4 linked regions of the Oreochromis niloticus genome follow. The protein of the gene in region 3 interacts with the protein of the main gene of each other region in a pairwise test. Links are inferred from orthologs where the notes say so. Each region holds a gene or a part of one and is shown on either strand. Other genes may lie near its edges. The genes, in order: ran, ptmab, nupr1b and mphosph6.

Region 1 (6,969 bases), on a different chromosome or scaffold from region 3:
TCTGATGGCAGAAGATGGTCCAACCGGTTCTATCAAAGCGTATCTATATAAAGTGTCTGATTTGTTTATGTACTGTTATTAATCATGGCCAGAAATTAAGTTAATGAGGTCAGTATACATCCATCTTATGCCTATGAGTCAGAAACTCAGGCTTCATACACCTTTAAACAGTACATTTCAGACACTCCCTGCTGTTCATTGCTTTGTTCGATGTCAGTCAGAGTATGTATCCTTAATTAGAGTCACTTCAGTGACACAGCTCTGCTTATGAATACAGCAGCCCCACCCACTACAAAATAAGGTCTATAGGGAGAGGACTTAAACCACTGTTTAACTCCTCTTCCTTTAAACTGAGCCACATTGAAGAGGTGAGTAATTGACCTCTCTTCAACTAATTCATATCTTGCAAATTAATGTGTGTCAGGGACAGTGGGCCCTTTAAGGGTTTTTTTTAACATATTTTTTATTCTTTGCCTTCACGCAGGTTTGGCAATGACCATGAGTTATCTGTTCCGTGAACCTGCCACCATCAACTACCCATTTGAGAAGGGTCCTCTGTCGCCCCGCTTTCGGGGGGAGCACGCCCTCCGCCGCTATCCTAACGGAGAGGAGCGCTGCATTGCCTGTAAGCTTTGTGAGGCTGTCTGCCCTGCTCAGGTAAACGCAAACACACAGTCCCTTTTATTATGATAGTTGTGTTTTGGTTTTGGTTTTTTGTTTTGTTTTTTGGACATGTTGAGGTTGTCTAGAGGATGTACTGAGGTACAAACAAAGCATTATACTGAACAAGAAATATGAATGACATCACTTTGACATGGCACAGCTGTTAGCCATGGATGATCAGGTTTAAGGATTTTTAGAAACTGATGGTTTGGCAGTGGCAGTTCTCTGGGCGATGGAACTGATAAAAAGACATTGAATAACCGCTTATTTCAACCACGATATGAAGAACAACGTCTCTGAAAACACAACATGCTGAAACCTTGAAGCAGACCAGTCACAGCAGCTGAAGGTTTCCAGCTGAGAACAGGAAACTGAGGCTAGAGTGGGCACAAGTGCAATAGTGTGGCAGATATTTTTGAACACATTTACCGCTCATTTAAACACCACCTTACACCGGAGTATTGTTGACACAAATAACTTCCACAATCACCAAATCTCACCAGAACTGACTGATGCTCTCATGTGAACGTGTACCCTATGTGCTTCTTAGCACCTTTTTGCATCTGCAGTACTGTGATGCAATATTTCTATTTTGCTTCAGACCAGCAGGATTTTCTTGTAATTTATTAAAGAGCTCTTCAGCAATGGCTTTCTTAGGGTCTTTTAAAGTGTTTCTGTATACATTGGCTGCTTCTTCCCTTATTTTCAATCCACTCTAGTCCTGTACCTAACCACTTTCAGAGGAATCCTTTTTTTATTAAGCCACTTAGCACTCATGAATGAATCATTCAAGACTAAAAAAAACACCCAACTCAAAGGATGAACCGTTGCTGTGCCTACAGCTTACACATAACAAACAATTTAGCAAAGAACCCATTTTAAATTGTATCTTTAGACACTTTTTATATCCGGCAAAGATCTGAGACAGGACCTAAGAACTTCATCTTACTCTACACTCTATCCATCTGCTGTTCACCAAAACCTGACCAAAAATGGGCTCAGTGGTAGGGTGTCTGTCAAGAAACATTCTTGAAACCAGATTATTGTTTTGAAGCTACCAGTGGATCATGAATTGCTAATCATTCATGATGTTTTTGTGCTATGAATACATGTATATCTCAAAAGAAAGAACAAAAACTTAAAGGTTAACACTATTGCTTGATGGGAAAACATAGACTGCTGGAACATTTCATTATTGGCAGGGATAGTATTAAGGAATGCAAACAAGGAAAAGAAGCTGAGGTATGCCAAGTTAATCGGGAGCTGGGACTGAAAATCAGGGGCAAAAGGTTTGATGGAGTGATGGCTCCATATTTAGTCTAAATCGTCATCATGATATGCAGAGGAGGTCAGGAGAGGGCTACAGCAGTGAGTGTCTACACACGGTGGAGGCTCTGTCATGGTTTAGGGCTGCCTTTAAGCCAGTGGTGTTGGAGATGTGGTCAAACTGGATGTAATTATGAACCCAGAAAACTATCATCAGATTTTGATCTGATTGGCAAAGGCTTCATTTTTCAGCATGGTAATTATCCCAAGCACACTGCCATTCAGTTTATTTGTTTGTAGTCAGTTCTCAAAGTGTCTGTAAAATGAATGTTGCTGATATTTGAATGCTTCCTACTGTTACGCCAAAAAACCAAAACGGTTTAAACATGATGCTTCCCTTTCCTTTCTCTATTGATCTCAGGCTATCACTATTGAGGCTGAGACTCGAGCCGATGGCAGCAGGCGGACCACGCGCTATGACATTGACATGACCAAATGCATCTACTGCGGCTTCTGCCAGGAAGCCTGTCCTGTTGATGCCATTGTTGAGGTAAAAACAAAAGTGTCCTCCAAGATTGATGAAGCTGAACAAGCAAATGCTAATGTGGGGATCTTTCACTGTCTTTACTCTAGTTCAGTACAGTAAATTTACAACTGAAAAACTCCACTACTCCACCCAACCCTCCTTCAAAACAGACAGTTAATGTCTTTTTAAAAAAAAATTGAATTCCTTCTTCAGGGTCCGAACTTCGAGTTCTCCACAGAGACTCACGAGGAGCTGTTGTACAACAAGGAGAAGCTGCTCAACAACGGAGACCGATGGGAGGCTGAGATAGCAGCCAACATACAGGCAGACTATCTGTACAGATAGACTCACTGTGGGAGGGTACTGTATGTTCTCCTGATATGCATTTAAAGAGATTACTGGCAGTTTTACAGTTATGCCAGCGAGTTCCGAGTGGTGAAGCCTCATATACTGAGGAAATTCTTTAAAAAACGCACAAATTTTATTCCTCTTAGGTGTAGTTGTACTTTTTGATGTTGAACTTGCACAATTTATATATACACAATGTGGGACAGACCATTTTCTGTAGCTCGTCAAAGCTTGCAATATAAGAGTATATTATTTGAAATGTTTGTTTTAAAGATATTGACAGACCTGTTGCAAATTGAATTAACTGAATTGGAAAGGGGAAAAAACCTTTGAAACTGAGAAGATGTGTTTTGTGCTTTTCTGTTTATTATATTATATCAAAAACTTGACTCTTGTTGGACCAAAACCCTTACATTAAGTGAGTTAATGACTGTGTTTTTAATGGTTTATTAGGCTGTTGTTATACGGTTGTAGCCTCCATTGTAACTATTGCTGTTTGCAGTTGTGATGCAAATAAATTACTTTTAAATTTTTAGTCAATAGAAACAAAATAAATATAATTAAATATGGTTGTTCAGTGTTTACTGGATTATCTGCTTTTTTGAGTTGCTTAATAAATGAAAATGATTAATTAAAATGAAATGTTTTTATTGACTTTTTTTTTAAGGATTTTGCATTTTCACTGAATTGGTGTTTCAACTGACTTTCACCTGTGTCAAAATTAAAACGCACTTGTGTTTTTGAAGCCAGCTGTGGTAAACAGATGGTAGTTATAGATATTATTATTGTTGTTGTAGTACACAAAGAAAGAAAATAACTTTTCATTCACTGACTTTTGTGTGGTAAAAAGTGTACCAATATTACTTGGTCTGACCTACGAAGCATCTTTGGCTGTTAGTAGGATAACACTAAACATTTTGGGTATTGGGCTCTTTTGTCTGCCACATGTGCATCCAAAAGTTGTTCAAGGAAACGAGGACGTTGCTGCTATCCTGTGTTTTTTAACAAGTTACCTCAGAAATAAACAGCTCGTAACCATACACAGCTGCCCAGCCTTAGCTGCTTGTCTGTAGTGGGAAATTATGCTTTTCTAGCTGCATGTGAATGTCCTTTAGGGTTGGATAAGTGTGTTTAAATAAAGACTGAATGCTGAATCACGTTCAGTTAGGACCGTGTTGCTTCATGATGCGTTTTTGCCGCTGCGAGGGTCACATGATAAGGGCGGAAACTGACTCATAGTCCACGCTGAATCTCCCGCGAACGCAGCCATTTACTCTTTCCTCTCTTCGAAGTGTTACCGGTGAGTCTCTGAATTCCTCTCACAATGCGGGCTATCATATATTTCAAGTTTGCATTCTTTGGGGAGAAAAGTCAGTTAAAACAATGGGCAGCTTTAAATCTTTGTCTTGCGATTTTGTAGCTGTATCCACGTGAGGAATGGGGCAACCGGGGAAGGCCGGTGGTTTTTCTTATGCGGCTAACTAGCTGTTAGCTCGATAAAAAGAATGGCTTCCATGCTGTGCTAGCTAACAGGTTAGCATGCACGGCTATCCCTCATTTTTTTTCTGCTTTGTTCTTGGGACTCGCGCGTATTCCTGTAAATACATAGTCAGTATTTTTGACAAAATATATTGTGGATGCGTGGAGTTACATTCATGTGTAGGGTACTATTTAGGCTGGGTTTGACTTGAAGTGTAGCGTGGAACACATTAGATGGGCTTCCAGTCGGATTGTTTCAGTCGAACAAGAAAAAGTGCGCTCGCCCGTCGTGTGGCGCACTCAATCTAACGTTTTTAGCTTTCCTAGCTAGCAGCCGTTGGTGTTGAAATGCGCATTTAGAAGCGCGCTTTCGTAATTTTCCATTGAATGCAAATATACATTAAACACACAAAATGAATTAAACCTTTTTTCACAACATAGGTGCACCGTTACACGTTTACTCGTTACATGTGTGAACGTTAGCTTGGATGGAAAATGCTAGAAGTTATGGCTATGTAACAAGCTATGGAGTTTAGCTAAACGACAAAATCGTAGAAAACCGCTCAAAACACCAAAATAACATCTCAACAAATCATAGCTTATGTCATATTTTGTCTTCTTGAAATGCCATTTAAAGGAGTTGCTAGCACTGCTAGTTAGTGTTGACGGACAACGTGCTAATCAACCGTCCCGCCTCGTTTTATTTAACAGAAAAGTCGCAACCACGGCGGACTCAATGGCACAGTGTGTTCCGGTGGCGGTGTTTAAGGTAAGTGCTTGCAGTCTAAGATAAATTGATGTTCCATTTCTCAGCCTTTTAACTAAATGAAGCACCGCTGTCTGTGCTAACAACGGTCAATGTGGTGAACCAGTACCAACCAGTCTAGACTAACTGTACGCTCTGCATCGCAGTTGGTTTTGGTAGGAGATGGAGGCACCGGGAAAACGACTTTTGTGAAGAGGCATATCACAGGAGAGTTTGAGAAGAAATATGTTGGTGAGTACTCGCTTCCCAGGAAGGAAATCAGCTCATTCTTCTGGTCTCAATGAGTTAAAGATGCGGTGATAGATTTGAAAGGAGGATGTATGATGCCAAATGTGTTAAATGGAACTATAGGGAGCAACATGTCCTGCATGCCCCTTCCTCAGATAAAATATGACTGTCTTCATCACTGTTTACACCTTCCTTCTCCTTATTCATTATGTCTTTGCTTGAAATTTCAGCTACTCTTGGAGTAGAGGTGCACCCACTGATTTTCCACACCAACAGAGGAGCAATCAAGTATAATGTGTGGGACACAGCCGGTCAGGAGAAGTTTGGAGGCCTGAGAGATGGCTACTACATTCAAGGTGCTCCTCGCATCCTTCGCATGCTGCTCGAGTTTCACGTTTTTAAAATTCATGTACCTTGGCTTTAGCTGAACAATACGTTAATGCTTTCTTGCTTCCTCAACAGCTCAGTGTGCTATCATCATGTTCGACGTCACTTCTCGAGTCACCTATAAGAACGTGCCCAACTGGCATCGTGACCTGGTCCGTGTCTGTGAGAACATTCCCATTGTTCTTTGTGGCAACAAGGTGGACATCAAAGACAGGAAAGTCAAAGCCAAGAGCATTGTGTTTCACCGCAAGAAGAACCTGCAGGTAATAACTGCTTGCAAAAATGTGTATTTTTGAATTGCAGAAACAACTTTTGAGTTTTGTCATTTCTAACTGCTGCAAATTTTTCTATCTGCAGTACTACGACATTTCTGCCAAGAGTAACTACAACTTTGAGAAGCCTTTCCTGTGGTTAGCAAGGAAGTTGATCGGTGATCCCAACCTGGAGTTTGTGGCAATGCCTGCCCTTGCTCCCCCAGAGGTCCAGATGGACCCATCCCTTGCTGCTAAGTATGAGGAAGAGCTTCAAGTGAGTATCACTGTACAGACTCATTTGTGTGATTTAGATGAATTTATTGTAAATTTTACTTGAGCATCTTCTAAATGTGGAACAATCTGAGACTTGACTTTGTTCTTCCATATCCAGGTTGCATCACAAACAGCACTCCCAGATGAAGAAGATGACCTCTAACCTGTTACCTAGATTTGTCCCTCCCTCCTCCCCCACCTGTGGACAGGAAGTCGTTGGAGTTTTGCCCCCTTACTGTAAAATCCCTTTTCAGATTTTTTTATTTTTGAATTTTTTTTGTTTTAAAACTTAAGTAAAAAAGAAAAAAACTTGGTGGAAAAGTTGTGGTTCTAATTTCACTGTATGACACACACCCACCCTAGTGTTGTTGTTGGCATGGCAACGTGCTACTCTTCATCGTCGAGCACCCTCCATTGCACTTACCCAGCTCACATAATGCTGTTGTACGGTGTACTGGAAGCACTAAGGGGAGTAAACTTTGAATAAAAACATTCTCGATATAACACGGCCGTTTGTGTTGTGATTTGCCTGCACGCCAACGACTTCAGGTCACAGGGAGCGCCTCGTAGTTTAAAAAGTGGCTCTAGTATATTCAAGCATCTTGGTGAGGATGATTTGGTGCACAATACAGGTTCCTGAAACTCAGGTGGATAAAAGAAACCAATAAAATTCAGCATCTGCTTTTGTGCTCTCCTGCTGTTACCAGTAAATGTTTCATATAGAAGAAGTCTCATGCCATAGCTTAGTCTGCAACATTGCCCACAGTAGGTCAAATACA
Region 2 (6,918 bases), on a different chromosome or scaffold from region 3:
GGGAGCTCGGGTGAGTGTGGACGTGGCGGGTGTTTGTTGAACTCTACTTGCTAATGACCATGTTGGATTTTTTTATTATTATTATTTTTTCCTTTAAATCAGTCCTCCAGCCCCTCCACCTGCGACATAGAAAAACGGTCAGAGGTGAAGAATCAGGAAGTGGTTCAGCAGGATGGCGCGGGGGAAACGCATCAATCGTCATCGTCGGTTTTCTGCTTCTTGGTTTCGACGTCGTCCTGAAAGAAGACAAGAAGAAGACGGTGGCGGGTTAGACCGGCGCCTGCTGGGTGTCATGGCACCGCTCGTTTTAAGGGCGTCTTAGGCGCTGCTGCCTCACCTCATCGTCGTCCTCGTCATCCTCAGCTGCCCGTTTTGTGCCACCCTCAATCTCGTCTTCATCCTCCTCCTCATCTTCCTCATCACCTACAGGACAAAAGTTGAAAGGTGAAAATTTTTAGACTCTAACAGGAGTTTATTATTTTTTAAAAGGCAAATAAGCCTTCAAGCTACCTTCTCCATCATCTTCCTCTTCTTCCTCGTCCACCTCCTCGTCCTCCTCGTCATCTACCTCGGGCTCACCGTTCTCCTCATTCTCCTGGAAAACACAAAAATGGTTAAAAATGTCCACCTCTGTGCACAGAGTTGCTGCTGTGGCGGCGGTGATGGCACTCACCTTTCCGTTGGTGGCGGCGTCTTTGCCGTTCTCCTTCTCCTCCACCAGCTTCTTCTCTTTCAGGTCCTGAAAACAAATAAAAGCAAACATCAGAAACTGAACCTGCTCATCTGCCCACCGAAACGCGCTGCTGGGTTTAGACTCCGCCCACCGCTGCTACCTGCCCCTCTACCTACTGGCCTACTTAGCAGCGTCCCAGTGCTTGCTGGGAGCTGCACGTTTTTCAGCCTTCCTATTTAAACACCATATTGGCCTCTGCAGATCCTCCCCCCATCTCCTTCCTCTCCTCCCACTCCATCCCCTCTAATGTGTTGTAATCTGATACTTTGATGTGGCCCGCGGGGCATTCTGGGTATTGTAGTCTTCTATGGGCCGCTGTCGCTGCCATATGTCACGAGACACGCCCGGGAGAAGCACTGCAATACCCAGGATGCACCCCGTTTAAAATAACACAGGAGGGCGCAGGAGCAGGGAGGGAGCAGGAGGAGGGGTCGATGATGGAGGAGGAGGAGGCGGCGGAGAGAGCGCGATGCACGCTGCTGCTGCTGCTCGTTGTAACGGAGGCAGGAAAGGACAATAGAAGACGACACATGGCAAGCGAGCGAAGCGAAGACACGGCACCTTCCGCCTCCGTGCTCGAGCTCAGCGCGCACTAACGCCGCTCCTCTTCCTCGTTTTGTTCCCCCACAGCCCATTATCCCCGCCGCACGCGCGCCTCACGCATCCACACGTAGGCTGTTATTGATTAATTGCTCTCCATAATCTTATTGGTTGAAATCCATTAAGCTGTTAAGCGGCAGGAGGAGAGCAGGCTGCCCGCGCGCTGCGCGTAAAAACGCGCTTGTGCGTAAAAACGCTCCACAACTAAAAATAGTGAACAGGCTCCCCGGATTACCCGCGCTAATGCCTGTCCAACTTTTCCCCTCTCCACCCCCTCCACCTTTACCACCTCCTCCAAATGGACATTTCTTATAATCGCTCAGAATTATTGAGAATTATTCTCGGGATGATCGCGGTCCGCGGAGCCACGACTCCCCCCGCGGGGGCGATTAAACTTTTACCCGATCTGATCCAAAGTCCACGCGCACAAAAACTCGCGTTTTCACAACAAAAGCAGCTCAAACGTGTAAACGGAGGAAAACCCGCAGAAAGAGGGGAAAACCAGCAGCGTCACATCACACCTCCACAGCCCGGCCACGCGCGCGCACGCGAGCACACACACACACACACACACACACACACAGGGAGAAAGAAGTGTCTGCATTACAAAAAAAAGAAAGAAAAGTTTCCCGTGAGACCGAAGCGCGCCCTGCAAACAAACCCCGAAAACACCAAAGCAAAGCGGAAGCCCCGGGCTCATAGCCGCTCACGCGCTCCGGGAGCGGAGACCGGAGCAGCTCAGGCTGGAGCAGCGGCGGCCGCCGACCTTCCGGAGTCGGTAAACAAACGGGGTCGGACGGTGCAGGCAGGCCGGTGGCTTTAACAAACGGGCTCACGGAAATAAGAAATAAAAAAGGCGGGAGGAAAAGTGCAGAACCGAAAGTTCACCGGAGGACTGCGCACCGCCTGACGCGCTGTCCTCCATTCAAACGGAGCAAACCCCAGGCTGGAGGTCCGCGTCCACGCATCCACCGGCCGCTGAGTGTGTCACCGCTCCCGGTAATGCGACCCGACCGAGTCCCTGCACCGGGAGCGGAACCTCCCCTCGATCTAATCCGCGTTAAGAGCCCGAGATGCGGGATAAATATGCGCGGCGCCCCGGCGCTCACAACGAGTCCGAAAACCCCGCGGGGAGCGAGCCGGGGGACCGGAGCTGCTCGGTGTCCGGGTCTCGCTTGGAGGTGTGCGTGCCGGCAGGAGAACAGAGCTGCTCGCAGAAACAAAGACCCGCGCAGACCAGGACTCTCCGGACAATGAGCCGCGGCGCTTTAACGCTGCCCGTGTCCGTGATGCGGTGCCGAGACCCCCCACTTCCCTCTACACACCGAGTTCAGGGGCAAAGAGGCGAACACCGGCTTTTCTTCTCCTCCTCCTCCTCCTCAGACTCCACAAAGTCCGAGCGAGCGCGAAGCAACGACGGAGAGGTTTTAAATGTAGGTTAGAGCCTGGAGAGCTTTATTCTTGTAAGGGGCTCCGCGGAGACACGGCCCCGCGAATGGAGGTGTGCGGCAGCTTACCTTGGCAGAGATATCCGAGCCGGAGTCGACCTGTGTGTCTGCCATTGTTTAGTAGAATAAAATAAAGGACGGCTGAAATGAAAGGTTGAATAAAGTAAATCCCCTCGTCTCAGTTAGCGGATCAATCAGTATTATATTGTGCCAGTGGCCAACGCTTCTGACGGCCGAGCCTTTAATATAGGCTTGTGGGCGGGGTCTTCATGAGGTCGGTGGTCTCTGATTGGCCAGGGGCTCGACAGAGGCGTTCTCCTAGCGCGTCGAGTAACAATGGATAGAATTTCTTAACCTAAAGGCCACGCCCCCTCCTATTCTACCGCTGCAACCGTCCCTTTCTCCCCTAAAACAATAATCCGAGTCGATAAAAGCCCACAAAACGGACCGGAGCCGGAACCGTGGCAGCTCCACAGCACCGTGAGCGCGAGAAAATCGAGTTTCCATCGAGTTACGCAGTAAATATGTCGAATCGAGAGCGCTTCGGTTGACGTAGTGTCAGTTTGATTGATTGATGTGCGTCTGGACGAGTCAAGCGGCGACTTCAGACGGTTTCTCCCGCCCACCGCCGCGACGGGGGAATAGAGGCGAAGTGTTTGGGAGGGAAACGTGGACGACACGGATGTTATCACGGATTAAATCGGGCTTTTCTACGCAAACGTTAGTGTCACATCTCAGGCTCCATGTGAACAACATCAGTCAGATAAAAGGCGCTAACAGTGTAAATGTGGAGCGGCGCCGCCATGTCACATCGCAGCTCTTCGTCGCCCCGCCCCTTCCCGACGTCCATGTTTGAAACTCATCCCTGTATGTGCGCACTTGACACTCTTGAGGGCTTTTTTTTTTTTTTTACATAACAGCCCATAAATTCGTGCGCCAAGGTCGAGACACAAATAAACACTGTACCCGTCGAACAACACACACACAGCCGGCTCTGACGCCGTGAGTCGGGCTGTTCGGGCTCAGTGAGCGGGTGCAGTGAACAGTGCTGGTGGCCTCATTTCCTCCGCCTCCATTGTTAGAACCCACAGAGAAATGCCCCGCCGTGGAGGAGGGAAAAAAGCAGTGCGACATAAAAGACATGCGATGAGACAAGTGCGGAAAATAATTATAATGTGCTCATGAACTGACGCGCATTCTTATGAAACACAAGGGCAAACACGTATTTTCCTTACCGACTTTTGTACACATGGCTTTTACAAGCTGAACTGAGAAGGACAAAGCGGCACGCAAAAAGGCAGCCGCTATTGCTCAGTGGAGATGGGGGATGGGAGCAGAGTGTGCTCCGATAACAGGCAGCCCACATTCACATTCTACTTTGATGACGCACTTGCCCGCAGAGGACGGCTCTGATTGGTCGGTTAAGTGGAATAAACACAGCTTTGGCGCACGGCAGGCGCTGATTGGTTATCGCCAACGTCCGTCAATTCAAAACTAGGCTCAGTCGGCTGACGGTAAAGAGCGGGCCCGGATGCTGGATCCGGACTGTGCTTCCATCAGTGTAGAGTTTCAGTTCTGTCTTTGACATGTTTGATTTCCCAGTTGTTGCCTTTTAGTTTTAGCGCCACGATCTCTGAGAGACACACTCATTATGCTTAATTGTTTGGAAAAGCCGGGCTCTTCATATTTCATTAGGCTGTATTATAAAATATTTAAACAGGTATCAGAGAGAGCAGATGGAGGCGGTGATCCTTCAACAGAACCAAACTCTGTCTCCCTGCTGCATCCATCTAACCACGTTTTGAGTGTGTGGAAAAAATGAATTTACTGACACGCACCCGCAGCGTGTCCACCTGTTTATGTGGTGATTTTGAATTTGTGTATTAAAGCTGCTGTGCCCAACTTTTATACTGTGCATTACAGTCATATACTGAATAAAGATGATGGATGTAGCTAATGTGATGAGCCATCCCTTACTGAATCGTCCAGAAGCGTCTTGGTGTTGAAACCGGACGAGAAACTCGATACTGCCAGGAGTTGTAAGTCACATGCACAATCGTACCCTGAGTCATTGTCATTTTTGACTCTAGCAGAGATTGTTATTTAAAAAGGAACATTATATGGTATTGATTGCGACTATAGACCCATCAGGAAAGTCTTTAATGAGGTCATGGATTGGGGGAGCCAAAGGTCAATGTCTCATAGGCTCCTATACAACTAAACCAGCCAGAGGAGTCGCCCCCTGCTGGCCATTGTGTAAGAAAAAGGTACTTTTCAGAACTTAAGAAGCTATGTCCGAATTTTAACCTTGCAGGTAAATCTCTGTATTTTCGGGCTTAGGCTGCGTTAAATCTGGTTTCCATGGTAACGCCAGATGTAAAACACAACAGCAAAGTAAAGAAGCTCCCAAGAAAAGTTCCTGATGATTCTGAAGACACAAATCTTTCACAGGAACTATTACAGTCTAAAACAAGTGAAAAAAATCATCCTATGTGTCGAATCGAGAGCGCTGTGTGACCTCAGTAAACGCTATCATCAACAGTTTGTGGTCTCACTCGTGTGTTTTAAGTCTAATCAAATTCCATCAGTTCCCAGAAGCACAGTAAAGCTGGGTGTGATCGACAAGTCGCTAGCCTATAAGCATCCTGTATCCCTCTAACATGACATCTTCTTTCAGTAAGATAAGATGATGATGGTCAATGGGCTCAGCTTCAGCCTTTACAAACTAACAGGTGACATCACAATGGCTACGTCCATCATTTATTCATCATGTGACCATCGGCTATGTTAGAACAGAAACTAGCAGAGATGGTGTATTTCCATCAGGTTTGAACTTCTTTTAAAGAGGTCCTCTTTTTCTTAAAACATGAACTACACCCCAATGAAAAAATGACTATTAAAATCATAAAACCAGACGCAGTTTCCCAAAAAGAAATGTAAATGTAGAGTTAACAAATCACAAAAATGCATGTGGCTTGTAGATGTGCATTACTGCCTGCATCACGGCTCACCATAACCAAACTGCAGACAAGACTGATGATGTCATCTAAACATCTGTGTTTCTGGTGTGTTTGACACATTGGAAACCCAAAGAAGGCCTAAATGGTTTCTTAAAATAAACAAAGTAAGACAATTAATTAATTATAAGCAGAAAAGAGTAACAGAGTTGGCCAGTCGGGTTCAGTACTGATTTGGTGCACCAGAACCTGACTGTCGGTCCATCTCCGAGTACCAAAACAAATCTATGAGCCAAGGTTGGATTAACGGCTGTGCAGAGCAGTCAGCTTCCTCTGGCCTCCAAAGCTCTGAGTTTGCGGCGTGTCAATTGGTTGTAGATAATTTGATTAACCGCAGATTTGTCGAGGAATTTGAACCACAGAACATCAGTATCAGCTGAGACAGGTACTTAATGCTGAGGATCTGTTCTGGAGAAGCAAAAGAAAGACTGCTGTTAGTTTAGTTTTATTCAGTGATAAATAACACACTTTGGTTCTCAGGTTGGTCGGACCATGCTGGGTGTCAGCTGGTCCTCCTTTGCCATTACACAGCTGAGCATGCCGCCGCTCAGAGCTCACAGTTGGTAAGGTTCAGGGATTTATTTAATCAGTAGATGCCAGAATAGCTCCATGCTAACACTGGAGTTTAATGTACATTTTAGATTTCAGAAATAAAAACTACACGAAGCACATGCAGTCTCACTTTATTCACTGAAGCAGCCGCTGCTACATGATTATCGTCACCCTGCAGCAGCGAGTGCAGTCACATAAACTGGTCACTGATGCAAATCAGCTGCGGACGCAGACAATAACTCTGTTCACGGACAGCTGCGTCTTCTGATACACTCCCAGTGTGTGTGGTGGGAAACCGCTTCAGGCTGTAACAATTATCATATGAAAAATGTCCAGTTATACATTTAAAAACATTTGAGACGTGACTTTAAATTTAAAAGCAGAGACAGGAACTTTAGTGTGCAGATCATCTTCATTCACATAAAACCAGGACAAACAGATTCAGGGATAGCTTCTTTCCCAGAGCTGTCGCCGTAGTAAATAAGCACAAAAACAATTGAAACTGCTTAGCTACACGATACTGTCACCGTCATTTATTATGCTGCTATCCATACTGTCATTATTATTA
Region 3 (7,215 bases):
GCGCCAAAAACTGGTCCACCCCAAGGATCGGGTCCCCCGACACAAACAGAGTAACATAGTGTACGCTGTTAAGTGCAGGAGGATTGCCAGGATGTATACATCGGGGAAACCAAACAACCTCTGGCTACAACACAGAAGAGCTACCTCATCAGGCCAGGACTCTGCAGTCTATTTACACCTACAGGCCAGTGGACACTCTTTCAACGATGAGGATGTACACATCCTGGACAGGGAGGAACGCTGGCACCAATGTCTGGTGTTTAAACATCAATGTCTGAACTTTCCAGGCTCTCTTTCCTGGCACCTCACTACATCCATCTTTTACATACAGGCTGTGTTTTTTCACTGAGGCCTAAAAGGAAGAAAAAATGAACACTCTCATTTCAGTTTAATAAGTCTTTAATCGTAAAAACAAGTTTTAAAAAACATCCTTAAGAATGAGCCATTTGCCGCCACCGCAGTCTCGGTGCGCGGTCGCGGTCCGAGCAGGGACCCAGGGGCACGCCGCCTCAGGTGAGAGCTCTCCAACACCTGCGGGCCCATCGGAGCTCAGACGCTCCTGCCATCTGCACGTGTCGTTCTGTTGCCAAGGACGCCATGGTCGGTTTCCGGGATGAGCCGTCCGAGATTCCCTGAAGTAGAAAAGAAAAATATCAAATAATTAATTAAAAGACATAAACACGAGGAGTTCAAGCATCTATTTACCACCAGCAGCACCATGTGTTAAAAATCTTTTTAAAAAAAGCTTTAAAATCCAAAATTAAACTTTTCCATAATGTTTTCTTCATCTACAGTTTCATTACGTGATCTGTCAGCTACATATACGAGTTTATCCTGTAGGATTAAATCATAATAAAGCTTAAAAATGATGTAAGAACTGTATCATTTCTAATTGACTTGCAGTACCTGCACAGGCCACCAGGAGGGCACGTAAGAAGAAAAGAGATGAGGAGGCAGGAGGAGGAAGAGGACAAGGGAGAACATGAAGAAGACGAACAGGGATGTGGAAAAGAAGGAGGATGGAGAAGGCTTGGGGTGGGGTGGGGCAAAGAAGGAGAGGAAGAGCAGGAGGAGGATTGTAAAAGTGTACAAACTGTTAGCCTCTGCCCTCTGCACCAAACCTCTACTGGATATCTGCCCATTCAAACTATGAACCTGGTGATGACGTGCAGGAGGCGAGCGGCAGGAGTTAATAAACAGTTTTGTTCTGAGGGAATTCATATTCTACGGGAAATATATGACAAATATTATAGCTAAAACAACAGCTAAGCTGTCTTTTCACTCATGACGTCACTACTATTCAACCTTAACAGTAACAAGAACAGCTGGCTTTAAATTCAGCTGTTAATTAACAGTTAATTATTGTTAATAACTGTGGAGCAAGCGCAGTTTAGGAAAATGCTTGATGTGGTTCAGTATGCTGTGTTCCAAACATTCGTTTAAAAATCGCCGATTTCAGATTCAGACCGATCCTCGAGCAAAGAAACCGAGAACAAAGATTCAAACTGGACCTCCTACACAGGAAACACGCTGTGTAAAATTCGGCGCAGGACTCGATATAAAAAGAAACTTTGGACTCTTTTCTGAGGGCTGTAAAATCAAAGTGTGGCAGCAAAAACCGCTGCGGGAGAGGCTTAAATTCAAACAATCGTAAAGGAAGTTCTGCACGCGGCGCGTCTGGCGTCACGTTTGCCCTGTTCCAGCGTTCCAAATAGCCACAGACCAGACAGCGTTCAGAAATCTGCCCGTTTTTAAGTGTTTATGGCCTCTGTCAGTGCAAACGGACTCGTGTGAGTCAGACGACTTTGCTCTGGCTGAAACTGCATTCCTACTTTACTTCGGCGCACAGTCACTGACACACAAACACGGTTTTCCAGGGTTTACCTCAGTATTCACTCCTTGGCTTTCTTCTCGCTGTTCTGGAGCTTCTCCACGATCTTGCGCTCATGTCCTGCGGGGTTGTGTCTGTTGGTGTTGTCGCTGGCCTCCTTCTTTGTCCTGCCCTTCCGAGCCGAACCTTCTGCAACAGAAAAACTAAAGCAGTGAGTTTTCCGGGCCCGGAACACGAACCGGACGGAACCAGGACAGGGTAGCTCACCTGCGTATTTATCCGTCAGGTTATAGTACTCGTACTCGTCGTAGTACTCGTCCTCAAACTTGGTGGGCTTCATGTTTTTCACGTCGACGTGACTCATGTTTGTTTTTCTAGAAGTTTGTCAGAGATCTTTGCGTCTGCGTAGTAAGCCTCAGTGTTCGCAGGTTTGTCTGTTTTTCGTCTTTCTGTGTTTGTTTATATATGAGAAGCATGCACCTCCTCCTCCTCCTCCTCCTGACTCCTCCTGCAGGGCTCCTCTTTCCTCTGCACTAATGTTGCATCAGCCACAGAGCTGCAGCCTCTGCATAACAAGATTAAGAACACACTCTTTGTGTTGAATACACAACTTTTTATCTCATATTTCTACATTTTATTTATTCAAAGTCACATTCAGTATTTCTTCTCATAGTTTTAAACCTTTGTTTACATAGTTATTAGCTCTCGTTGGTTTTTACAGCTAATTTAAACTTATTTGACTGTATACTCTTGTTTTGGTACTTTTTATGTACCCACCAAGGTATCCTAACTTTCCTTAACCTGTCCTGTTTTTGACCATGAAGCTTGTGTTATCTTCATCACATGCCTGTGACACCTGTGTACGTGGACTCTGGTCCTGTGACTCACTGTGAGACCCGACCTTGGTTCCCGCAGATGATCCCGGGTCTGTTTTCCTTGGTTATCAGCAGCTGCTGTGGTCACATGACCCTGACCTGGTTCATGGTGTTTATCTAACGCTGCTCCAACTGCACTGCAGGCCGTGACAGCAGATCAGAGTCATCCTGCAGAAATGTTTCCATTAATGTGACCGAGGCTCATCTCCAGAAGCTTCACTGTGACTTTTGGAGCCTGGCTTTTCGGTTTGTTTCCTCTCATCACTCTCATCACTCAGACATCCTTTCAGACATGATTGTAACCGTTTCCACTTTTGTTTTTCATATCAGTTTAAATACTTACTTTTTTGGAAAAACATGCAGCGAAAACTGAAGACGCTGCTGAAGGATTCAAAGCAGCATGAAAGGGCCGCTGCAGTTACTGCATATATTAGCTTTGTGTCCTTGTGTTCACATTTAAACTGAGTTATCTAATCTGTGTGGAACAAACTTTGGACTGAGCGTCTCAGAGGAACAAACAGAAGAACGAGCGCTTTGTTGTCTGCTCGTGTTTGAGAGTCAGGACATTTTTACATTTGGGCTGTAAAACACTTCAGCTCAGCACAGGTGTCACTTTCTGAGCAACTGAAGCTGTTTCAGGTGGTTTGTGCTGTAAACAGCAGCAGGAGGAGTCAGGAGGAGTCGGGAGGAGTCGGGAGGAGGCTTCTCAGACTCCTCGTGAGCGACGTGACTGAGCCGGCTGCAGAGGAGGATGTGAGACTGCAGGAACGTTTTCCTGAGTCATGGCGTGTCGTAAACATGACCTCCTGACACACAGACACAGACACACACAGACACAGACACACACACACACAGACACACACAGACACACACACACAGACACAGACACACACAGACACACACAGACACAGACACACACAGACACACACACAGACACAGACACACACAGACACAGACACACACAGACACACACAGACACAGACACACACAGACACACACACACACACAGACACAGACACACACAGACACAGACACACACAGACACACACACACAGACACACACAGACACACACACACAGACACAGACACACACAGACACACACACACACACACACACAGACACACACAGACACACACACACAGACACACACACACACACAGACACACACACACAGACACAGACACACACAGACACACACACAGACACACACACACAGACACACACAGACAGACACACACACACAGACACACACACACAGACACACAGACACACGCAGACACACACACACAGACACACAGACACAGACACACGCAGACACACACACACAGACACACACACACACACACACACACACAGACACACACACACACACACAGACACACACACACAGACACACACAGACACAGACACACGCAGACACACACACACAGACACACACACACACACACACACACACACACACACACAGACACACACACACACACACAGACACACACAGACACAGACACACGCAGACACACACACACAGACACACACACACAGACACACACAGACACAGACACACGCAGACACACACACACAGACACACACAGACACAGACACACGCAGACACACACACACACACACACACACAGAGACACACACACACAGACACACACACACAGACACACACACACACAGACACACACACACACACACAGACACACACACACAGACACACACAGACACAGACACACGCAGACACACACACACAGACACACACACAACTTTTAAACCTTGAATTGAATTTTCTGCTTTTTAGATTTAAACCCATCACACGTGTTTGTTTATCATTCATAAGTTTTATTTTTTATCTTATAAATTTATTTGTATCTTTTCTGACTCAGGAAGTCGAATCTTTCCGATGATGATTTTGTGTTTTTAGCAGCAAACTGTGGACGATCATGTCTTCATGCTGCAGCTCCGACTCAGTGAAACATGATTTTTTGACGTTTTGACGTCGAGCTGAAATCTCGTTATTCTGCTGAATCAGGGAAACTTCTGTTTCTGTACTTTCTCTCCTCACGTTTGACTGTTTATCTCACAGTTTGAAATATTTCATGAATAACTGACTTTTTTCATGAAATCAACCTTTTATCATGTTTATGTCGCAGCTCTAAGTCACGGCTGCATGTTTACACGTTTTAAACCGAGTGTGTAATCTGCAGGATCTGAGCTCAGGATGTTTTCTTTGCTGCAGACGTGTGCGCAGTCACATGTGCGAGGCGTGTCGCGCTCCCACTGAACACACAGGTCACAGATATCAGCTGATATCAGCAGGTAAACATTAACTGCGGCTGAAAACTTGCTCAGGTGTTTTCATCTTCATGAATCCTTTTACTGCACGTTACACGCACTAACACAGCTGTAAACATTTCCTTTTAAATCTCCTGAAATTGTTTCATTTATTTATTTCATTCACCTGAGAGGCCGAGGTCACTGATCGTTGGACATGTTGAGGGTTTAGGGTGCACGTGCGTCCTCTCGTGCACGCGAATCATTTTGGTTTTTCTGAGTTTTAGTATTTTTACAGCTGGCCTCCATCACAGTGCTGCTTCTTTGAACCAGTGTTTCCAGTTTTTATCCGTCTCAAACCAGCACAGCCTTAGCCACCTCTGATTTACTAAAGTCAGGGCCCAAAGTTTGTACTGACGGGTTAAATATGAAAAATGTACAGTGCAAAAGACGAACAGTGATGATTACTTAACGTGTCATAATAGAATTCCATGTATGTAAAATAAAGCATGCAGAATCATTTTAACATGAAATGATTGAACAGTTTTAATTCAGACAGAGATTTTTCAGACACTTTGAATGTTTTAGTTCTTCTGATTTTTGGATGTTTGGAAGTGAAACACAAACTGAAACAAACTCAGCGACGTCTAAAAGACTCTCATACAGTTCATATGAAAGTAATCCCATTACTTTACTGTTTACTTATTTTCAAAAGTAATTAGTTACTTAATTACTTTTTAAAACATGATACACAACCTGAATTCGTAATAAAGCAACAGACGTTTCAGCCCAAATTTATTTTTTCTGCATAATCCATCATATAAAATGTAACCAAATGAAAAAGTCTCTTTTTATAAATTGTTTTATTTGTTTTCATCTTTATGCACAATGAATTAAGCATGAATTAAATTATATCCATCAGTCTTTGACTTTAACATTTAAACCTATTTCCTGCATATCCCAGCATATAAAAATAATAAATATTGTTTTGTGTTTACACTCTTTCAAATAGATGCAAGTAAAACACAGCAGGAAATAAATAAAATCAAAGATTCAGCAGCTCTGAGTCCTGTCGCTCTTAAATCTATTGTCACCTGTTTAGCAGGAGTGGGGCGGGTGGAGGTTTGCCCACAGCGGTCATGTCAGTGGGAGGATCCGGGGGTTTCTCTGTGAGTGTCACATTCCCGTGGCGGCGTGCTCGCTGCTCAAAGTTGAAGTTTAATTCTTTGCTGTAGAAAGAAGTTTTCTTCCCACGCAGAGTGAACAGCAGACGCTGATGTTTTTGTCAGTTTTTACAGAATCAAACTCAAAGTAATGTGATTACTTCCACGCTTTAAACGCTGCATGGTCGTACTCTCTCCATCACTCCATGTTATCCACGGTTGATCTGCACACGTCTGTTGCTGCCACAGACATCGCACACACTCGCACATCATTGTCATGAGACACTCTCACAAACAAAATCACGGTTTAATAACGCGAAAGTAATGGTAATCTAATTACTTTTTTGCAATCTTAATCCCTTACTTTACTTGTTACTTGAAAAAGTAATCAGATTACATGTTACTGCCCACCACTGGTGCAAAAGAACTCAGTCTCTTACCTTCAGTTGAACATATCTAAAACAAAGACATGGTTTCTGACTTTAGGCCACAGAGATGGAGCGAGAAAGAAGCACAGAGGGTCACCGGCACCCTCACTGCCAAAGGGAACTTGCTCATTTCCACACTGACCGAGGAATTCTAATTTATTTTTATCTCTTTGTTTGGTGGCATGGTTCAGTCAGACCTCTGCCACAGAGAAAAATGCACTGAGTCACATAGTGAGATGGTCCAGGCGTCTGACAGGTGAGTCACAGGGTAACCCCTCTATGGGGTGAACTGCCATCACTGAACTTAATAAGAACTGTTTTTTGATTTGATTCATCTCGTCTAATTACCAAAACAGGTGTGTGTTGCCAAACACATTTTTCAGTAAAGCAAATTTACCTACAGGTGTAAATAAAGTAACCTCGAACCTTCTCCACAAAAGTGAAGAAAAAACATTTTTATGCAACTTTCATGCCAGATTGAACAAATATGACAGGTTGTACCACAGAAACAGAAATCTTGTCTTTTCCAAAGAAAAACAACAACTGGAGTTTCCAGAAGAACGTCCAATTATAAATGAGCAGACGTGCTCTACATACCTGCCAGTGTTTGACCTTCTGTCCTTTCATAATTCAGGTTAAATTA
Region 4 (6,839 bases), on a different chromosome or scaffold from region 3:
ACAGTATTAGGAACACCTCCAGAATAACATCATCCGCCTCCATGATCACATGACCTCTGACCCCTAAAGACTTAAAACACACTTCACTGTGTGTTCAGACTAGAGATGGCACAATACCACTTTTTTATGTCCGATACCGATATCATAAATTTGGATATCTGCCGATACCTTAATGAATCCGATATAGTGTGTTTTTTAATCAATAAAACTGTTTTTTAATATCTTGCTGCATTTTGTATAAGTTCATACTCAAGTTTAAATAAACAACAACACTAAAGCTATTCTGTTATACCTGTATGTAAAAAATACACTGCACCCAAAATATTTCATAGTTCAGCAACACTGATCAATCTAATAAACTTAAACCTGCTCCATCCTCCCTATTCTGGTATTTTAAAGAGTACTTAGCAGAAATATTAAGCAACCTAACTAACAGGGTTGCAAACTCCCAGCAAAAAAAGAAATAGGGAACCACCCCCCACCCTCCACCTCATGATGCTTAATCGATGTAATCAACTTTAATTTGATGCAGGGTGAAAAAAAATGCACAGAAATAAATTATTTTTCAAGAATAATTAAATAGATTCAACATCTTTCTTCTACAGAACTGCAGACTGCACAGATGGTACCTTCCCAAAGGAAAAAGTACTATAGCTTACTAGGGTATATTAGACTTAACAGTTACTATATACAGTAATGGACTTCTATACATGTTACATCAGATTAAAACTTTGGGTGTAAGATTCAGATAATTATTTATTAAAAGCTAGACATTTTAAATGAGAATAAGAAAGAAAAGTATGTCTTTGTGCCCCCTTTTCCCTGTTCATGCCCCATCGGCCCCCCTGGCTACACTTTGCTAGATCCGCCCCTGCACAGTTACCAGCCGTCAGCTACGTAGAAAAGGATCCTGGTGTAGAAAGTAATATTAAATACATTCTAACAACAGCTTATCAAGGTTAAACGTGCTGCTGTTGTTCCGCCGCTGGTTTCCTCTTTCTGGAGCAAAGTGGGCCAAAAACAAAGAAGAGAGACGGACTCGCGACAGAAAAGCCAATCAGCTGATCATCATACCGAAAAGCACCACTGAACGACACAGGAAATCATTCCTGCCTGTGGCCATCTCCCTGTACAACGCATCCACTTAACACACTGGCTACTGCTACAACTACATGTTTCTTTCCAGCTATTTATTAATGTGTGACTTATGTATATATATACACACATATATATACACTATATATATATATACACACATATATATACACTATATATATATATATATATATATATATATATATATATATATATATATAGTACTATTCTTAGTTAGCGTGTTGTCTGTTTTGTTAATGTTGGTTTATAATGGAGCACTGTAACAAAAAATAATTTCCCCCAGGGATCAATAAAGTATTCTGATTGATCAGTTTCACGATTGAAGTAGCAGCAGGAGAGGGAGGGAGAGAGGCAGTCGCTCCATATATCGGTTGTTAAGCTTAACATGGGAACGCTTTACAAACATTCAGAGATGAACTTACACACTTGCTTTCTTCTCTCTGGGATAACTTCCTCGGAGATGAAATGCTGGTTTGGTAGCGAGGCTACAAATACACACAGCTGCTCTATCACGTGATCACACTGCTCCGACGTGCTACGGTTATGAGCCGAGTTACGCCGTGTCGCAAGTTTTGTGAGGTGTTTTTTTGATATTTAATGGATCGGATTACATTTTTTATTTCTCTCCGATATCCGATCCAGTAATTTAGGTCAGTATCGGACCGATACCGATACGTAATATCGGATCGGTCCATTTCTAGTTCAGACTTCAAACCAGACTCCATTCAGAAAACTGCACATTAAGCAGCTGCATGAAAAAAAGTCCTTTAACGACGGTGCGGTGAGGCTGTTATGCATTTTGCTTGAATTAAAGTGGGCGGAGCCTGAATGGCGCTCATACATACTCTTTAGCCTTGAGCTCAGGCAGGTCCAGGTACCAGTGCTCATCACTGATGATCCTCCGCTCGTCCTCCTCCAGCTGCTTCTTCGTCTCTGCGTCCAGACGTCTCTGCATGAACTGTGGACACACACACACACACACACACACACACACGTCACCTTCAGCTGACGTTTCTGTGAGGTTTTAACCACACCTGCTCTCATGAATGATGATTTTACTGCACTCAGTTGTGATTGGCTGAGATCTGCAGAGAACCACAGTTGTTTCCCTCAGTGTGAAATCTTCCACATCTGCAGAACAGATTTTTAAAGTAAAGGTGAAAATCAGCAGAGAGGGCTTTATTCTGATTGGTCAAAGCATCAGGCCGCAGAAACATCTTTTCCACGCTGGTTCAGCCTCTCCAGGAAACAAACCAGCACCCTGCAGGTTATTACCTCCCCCTGGACGTCATATCAGACTCTGATACAGTTTTTAAAGCATGAATTTCAGCCGTCGTTCCCATTATTCGTGACGTAACACAAATACTTGAGCATCCACACGGGTTCAGATTCGCATCACGTGAGAGATCATTTTAAAGTCAGAGTTTATCTTTAGAGTCTCAGACTGGCACACATTATTTATTAATAAATTACATTTACAGCCTGTTATTAACTCTGCTGCACGCCGATTTACTCTCTGGGTCACACCCGACATCCGGTAATCAATTTCAACTTCTATTTACGATTTAAAACTTCCTGTGAAGCAGAAAACCTTAAATTATCAGGATTGCTGAGTGGAGTTATGCGCCGGCGCATTACAAAGCTAACGTTCTGCTAGCTATCGGCTGCTAGCTGCTCTCGCGTGTCCGTTAGCACGCGCAGCTTCACTTACCTTCATCCGCAGCAGATTTTTGGACAGCTTCACCGACTCACTCGCCATCTTCAACCCAAGAGAATGCGGCTAACCGAACTGGAGGACCCTCGGTGCTGCACACCGAGCTAACGCCACGCTGAACAGAGGCAGAAAGAACCGAGCGCTGAACTGCTTCTCCAGCCCTGCTAATCGAGCTCTGATGTGCAGCCCAGGGGCGGATCTAGAGAAATTTTCTTAGGGTGGGGGGCAGTGTTGCCAACTTAGCGACTTTGTCGCTATATTTAGCGAGTTTTCAGACCCCCTAGCGACTTTTTTTCTTAAAAAAGTCGCTAAAAAAAGACGTGAAAGCGCGTATCGCTTTTACTCTCAACAAGCAGCGGGTGCTGTAACACAGTCAGTTCTTCTTTTACTCTTTTACTCTTATGCTGTTTTGTGGATCACAAGGTTTAAAACTACTTATAAACACACACACACACAAAGTAACTCCACCAGAGTGCCTATTTCGGATCACTTTTGCCGGTCCAAGCCCGGGTAAAGGAGCAGGGTTGGAATTGTGACATTAAAAAAAACAATAATTGCTAAAAGAAATTTAATTTGTAGTTCTAAATAAACTCTAAATGCATTTAGGACGTTTTTACTCACTTTATGTCTCTTCCACGATGTTATTTCTCTCTCCAACAACATAGGTTACAATTATATTAGCATGACCAATTATGCAAATTAGGTGATGACTTCATTTAGCGACTTCTAGCGACTTTTAGGACAACCAATAGCGATTTTCCTTACTGAGGAGTTGGCAACACTGGTGGGGGGAGCTGGTAGTGTGAGGCTTGCGGGAAAAAGCTGTCTTGCAGTTCGGAGGATTGGGCCCAGATGCTGTGATTTTTTGCGCCGTTCCGTGGCGCAAAAAAGGTTGGGGACCGCTGATCTAAGTGACTTATATATTATGTTTAACCTGAGTAGTGGGGGGGGGGTTGAAAACGATGTGCTGGGAGCCGCGCCTTGACTACCCGGTCAGCTGGTGGGTAACAGGCATCTCCGAAAACGTTGGAGCACTTTTGCAAATATGTGATGGCTTCATAAATCGAGCAGATATTTGAAGTTTACACAGCGCCATTCATCAAATATCTTAAAAGTTTATTTTGTGACCCAGAAAGAGTAATATTTCAAACTCCGCCACTGCGCGTTCCTCTGCCACTGCGTTTGAGTTTTGGATGAAATGCATTCTGGGATATTTGCCTGGGTTTAGCTACAGCAGCCAGTGAGCTGATTAGAGACCAAAACAGCCAATCAGAATGTTTTCCATCCAAGTCTGTGATTGGCTGGTTTTGTGGCACAATTATAACGGTGTACAGAAAGAGTTGAAAGCGCACAGGCAGAAATGTTGAGAGCACAAGCAACACATTGTGAGCAAGCGCAAATGCAAAAACTGAGCGAGCGGGGCTGCTATTGTGTGTGTGTGTATGGATAATAGCAAACACTGAAATACATTTTTTGCACGCAGCAATGAATTTTGTTCACTCAAATTTAGCTTTTCTTAGCTCAAAATACATTTCTCCTCAAAATGCAACACTTGCACCTGCAATTTTTTTTTACGTGTGCTCAAATTTTTTTACGTGCGCTCAGAATAGTGGCACAAAAATAACGCCATAGATTACCTGGATGACTGAGCACGCATCACCACTGAGCAACAACAGTCAATTACTTTTCATAACTCCGCAAACCTCTGATGTCAGTGTGTGTCTGTGTGTGTGTTGCTGTTTGGAGACATTAATCATTTTATGTGGTCACATTTTGTTGGACCCGCCTCCTTCTCGAGGTGTGACGTATGGCGTATGGAGATTGGTTGAAAGTGACCTATTGTTAGAGCAGCTTTGCATGATTTACAGCTCAAAATAATCCTTCTTTATCTGAATCTGGCCCTGGGAACTTCCTTTCAAAGTGGAATAAAGAAAATTTGTGTTGTATTTGTATTTGTTGTAACTTCTGCTGCCCTCTTGGAAAACAGACACTTGAAACCCAAACACCATTTCATGCTACATTATCCTGGAGCCATCGGAAAATTGGGCCCATAGTTCATTTCTGGTCTGTGCGCTTTGAGGCAAACTTGGATTTTTCTAATGAGTAAGTCGTGTGAATTGCAGCTTTTGGAATATTTGTAAATCCCAGGCCTACAGACACCAAATAATGATGTGCTACACTCTTTTTTCTGACCTTGACGTTGGGCCAGGAAGCACCAGACTGCTCGATTCGCACATGATTTTGAAAAAGTCACAAGTGGATTTGAGGGAAGTTCTGTTTTCACACAAGTGTTTCTGCCATCCTGGATTAAGTACAAAGGTACAAACTACAGGCCGGGAATGACACTATTATCACTCTGAAGATGGGAACCTGTGCTGAACTGTTAACAGCACAGTGACGGTACAGTCCAATGTCACAAACAGCAACCTTTGAAAGACTTTGTATTTAGTCTTTTTTTATTGCTCAGGGGATAAAGTGATTATTTGTATTTTAAAGGATTTGAGCTGTAAAAAAGCTGATGTGCTGATTTTACACCACCTACTGAACTGCAAACCGGAGTTTCTTCAGACAAAGGAGCAACATTTGTAAGTTCAGCTATGCCATCAGGCTTTTTTATCCATGTACATTCATTTGAATGACAATTAAAAATGAGAAATGTTATCTTTGCTTTAACTTTTGAGCATATTAAAACGATTCGTTTCCTGAAGTGCTGTGTGGCAGGCAGGATGTAGGACCCAAACGCGGGACTCGGAGACAGGAGGATTAACGACAAGCAGCAGCTTTACTGCTGCAGAACGTTTGAATATAAAATACAAGAAAACTAAACTAGAAACTCCAGTTCAAAGTAGAAAACACAAACACGACAGAGAACCAGAGTGTTACTAAGCACAGAGAGAAACACGGACAGGACAACGAGAGGATGGGGACAGGTGGTAACACACCAGGGACACATCAGACCTAACGAGACGAGGGGACGCATACCCACACACACTGCACCCAGGACAGGGACTATCAAAATAAAACAGGAAACACACGACAGGCACAGGGGCACGGCCGTGACACTGAACAGAGGGAACACGGAGCACAGGGACGGCGTGACAAACTGCCACAGGACACAGGATATGTAAGTATCCACTCTTCACTGGATCCACACAACAGCAATTAAAAATCCTGAATACTGCTCAGTTTCTCAGTCAGTGTACTGAAGAGCATTGATTATTAAAAACATACAGTGTGTAGCACATCTTTTAGGTAGACACATAAATAATGACAACTGCTGCAAATTTACTGAGAAGTTGTCCAAAATGTTTGTGCAACTTCATGACAGATTAAAGTGTGTAAAACATGATTGTGGACCATGGCTTGGATCTCCTAACAAACACCGGTCTGCTTCATGTCGAGCGTGCTGTTGGAGCTCATGGCTCCAGGTTTAAAGACGACTTGACAACTGCAAACATTTTTTAAATCATATTTGTTTCTCTTTTTTTCAGGATGTGTGGTTCAGCCCCGGCAGAAAACTCAGGCCAGCAGCAGGATTTCTGGAGGAACGTGTACGCAGTGTCAGGTGAAGGCTTCGTTCTGGCAGGAAGAAGAACTCAGCAGCACAGGAACGCCAAAAACACTGCCTCATTTTGTCTGGTACTAGAAGATAGACTTGCTTCTGAAGCCCCTTCCTTTTTGCAGCGATCTAAGCTTTTATCATTTGAGTGCTTGGCCTTCTATCTTTGGTTTGAATTTATTTACTTCTGCTTCCCACAGAACCAGAACAGAACAACATCTGGCTCAGGTTTCCCGACACATGCTGCAAACTGCCATCCACAGAGCAACGTGGACCCGGTCAAACGGGACGGTCCCACTTCAGCAAATTTTCACCCCGGGCATGCTGAGGTCACATCTCATGGACTAAGGACCTGTTCAACACTCAGAAGTAATACAATGTGTAAATGTACAGTGTACAATTACAATACAAATCTTTTTACTCAAAATATTTTTATTGAGCGATTGTGGA

The links.
Region 1: the proteins of nupr1b (region 3) and ran interact in a two-hybrid assay, tested with the Homo sapiens proteins (2 studies listed by BioGRID and IntAct). The link is inferred for Oreochromis niloticus from reciprocal best matches to the Homo sapiens genes NUPR1 and RAN.
Region 2: the proteins of nupr1b (region 3) and ptmab interact in binary tests that used the Homo sapiens proteins (3 or more experiments, as listed by UniProt). The link is inferred for Oreochromis niloticus from reciprocal best matches to the Homo sapiens genes NUPR1 and PTMA.
Region 4: the proteins of nupr1b (region 3) and mphosph6 interact in a two-hybrid assay, tested with the Homo sapiens proteins (2 studies listed by BioGRID and IntAct). The link is inferred for Oreochromis niloticus from reciprocal best matches to the Homo sapiens genes NUPR1 and MPHOSPH6.

What each region holds. Positions count from the first base shown.
Region 1 is NC_031966.2:22,419,907-22,426,875, reverse strand, and holds ran (GTP-binding nuclear protein Ran), read left to right. Parts: upstream 1-3,949; 5' UTR 3,950-4,103; intron 4,104-4,993; 5' UTR 4,994-5,018; coding exon 5,019-5,051; intron 5,052-5,194; coding exon 5,195-5,279; intron 5,280-5,506; coding exon 5,507-5,632; intron 5,633-5,738; coding exon 5,739-5,926; intron 5,927-6,020; coding exon 6,021-6,191; intron 6,192-6,308; coding exon 6,309-6,353; 3' UTR 6,354-6,694; downstream 6,695-6,969. Other genes in the region: ndufs8b (NADH:ubiquinone oxidoreductase core subunit S8b), read left to right, coding at 485-657, 2,351-2,479, 2,669-2,800. UniProt on the Homo sapiens protein: GTPase involved in nucleocytoplasmic transport, participating both to the import and the export from the nucleus of proteins and RNAs. Switches between a cytoplasmic GDP- and a nuclear GTP-bound state by nucleotide exchange and GTP hydrolysis.
Region 2 is NC_031982.2:35,431,609-35,438,526, forward strand, and holds the start of ptmab (prothymosin alpha-B), read right to left. Parts: upstream 3,015-6,918; 5' UTR 2,896-3,014; coding exon 2,851-2,895; intron 740-2,850; coding exon 674-739; intron 596-673; coding exon 511-595; intron 424-510; coding exon 338-423; intron 237-337; coding exon 192-236; 3' UTR 1-191.
Region 3 is NC_031969.2:33,682,279-33,689,493, reverse strand, and holds nupr1b (nuclear protein 1b), read right to left. Parts: upstream 2,278-7,215; 5' UTR 2,196-2,277; coding exon 2,099-2,195; intron 2,021-2,098; coding exon 1,893-2,020; 3' UTR 1,885-1,892; intron 633-1,884; 3' UTR 515-632; downstream 1-514. UniProt on the Homo sapiens protein: Transcription regulator that converts stress signals into a program of gene expression that empowers cells with resistance to the stress induced by a change in their microenvironment.
Region 4 is NC_031972.2:1,932,306-1,939,144, forward strand, and holds the start of mphosph6 (M-phase phosphoprotein 6), read right to left. Parts: upstream 3,025-6,839; 5' UTR 2,876-3,024; coding exon 2,828-2,875; intron 2,075-2,827; coding exon 1,962-2,074; intron 1-1,961. UniProt on the Homo sapiens protein: RNA-binding protein that associates with the RNA exosome complex. Involved in the 3'-processing of the 7S pre-RNA to the mature 5.8S rRNA and play a role in recruiting the RNA exosome complex to pre-rRNA; this function may include C1D.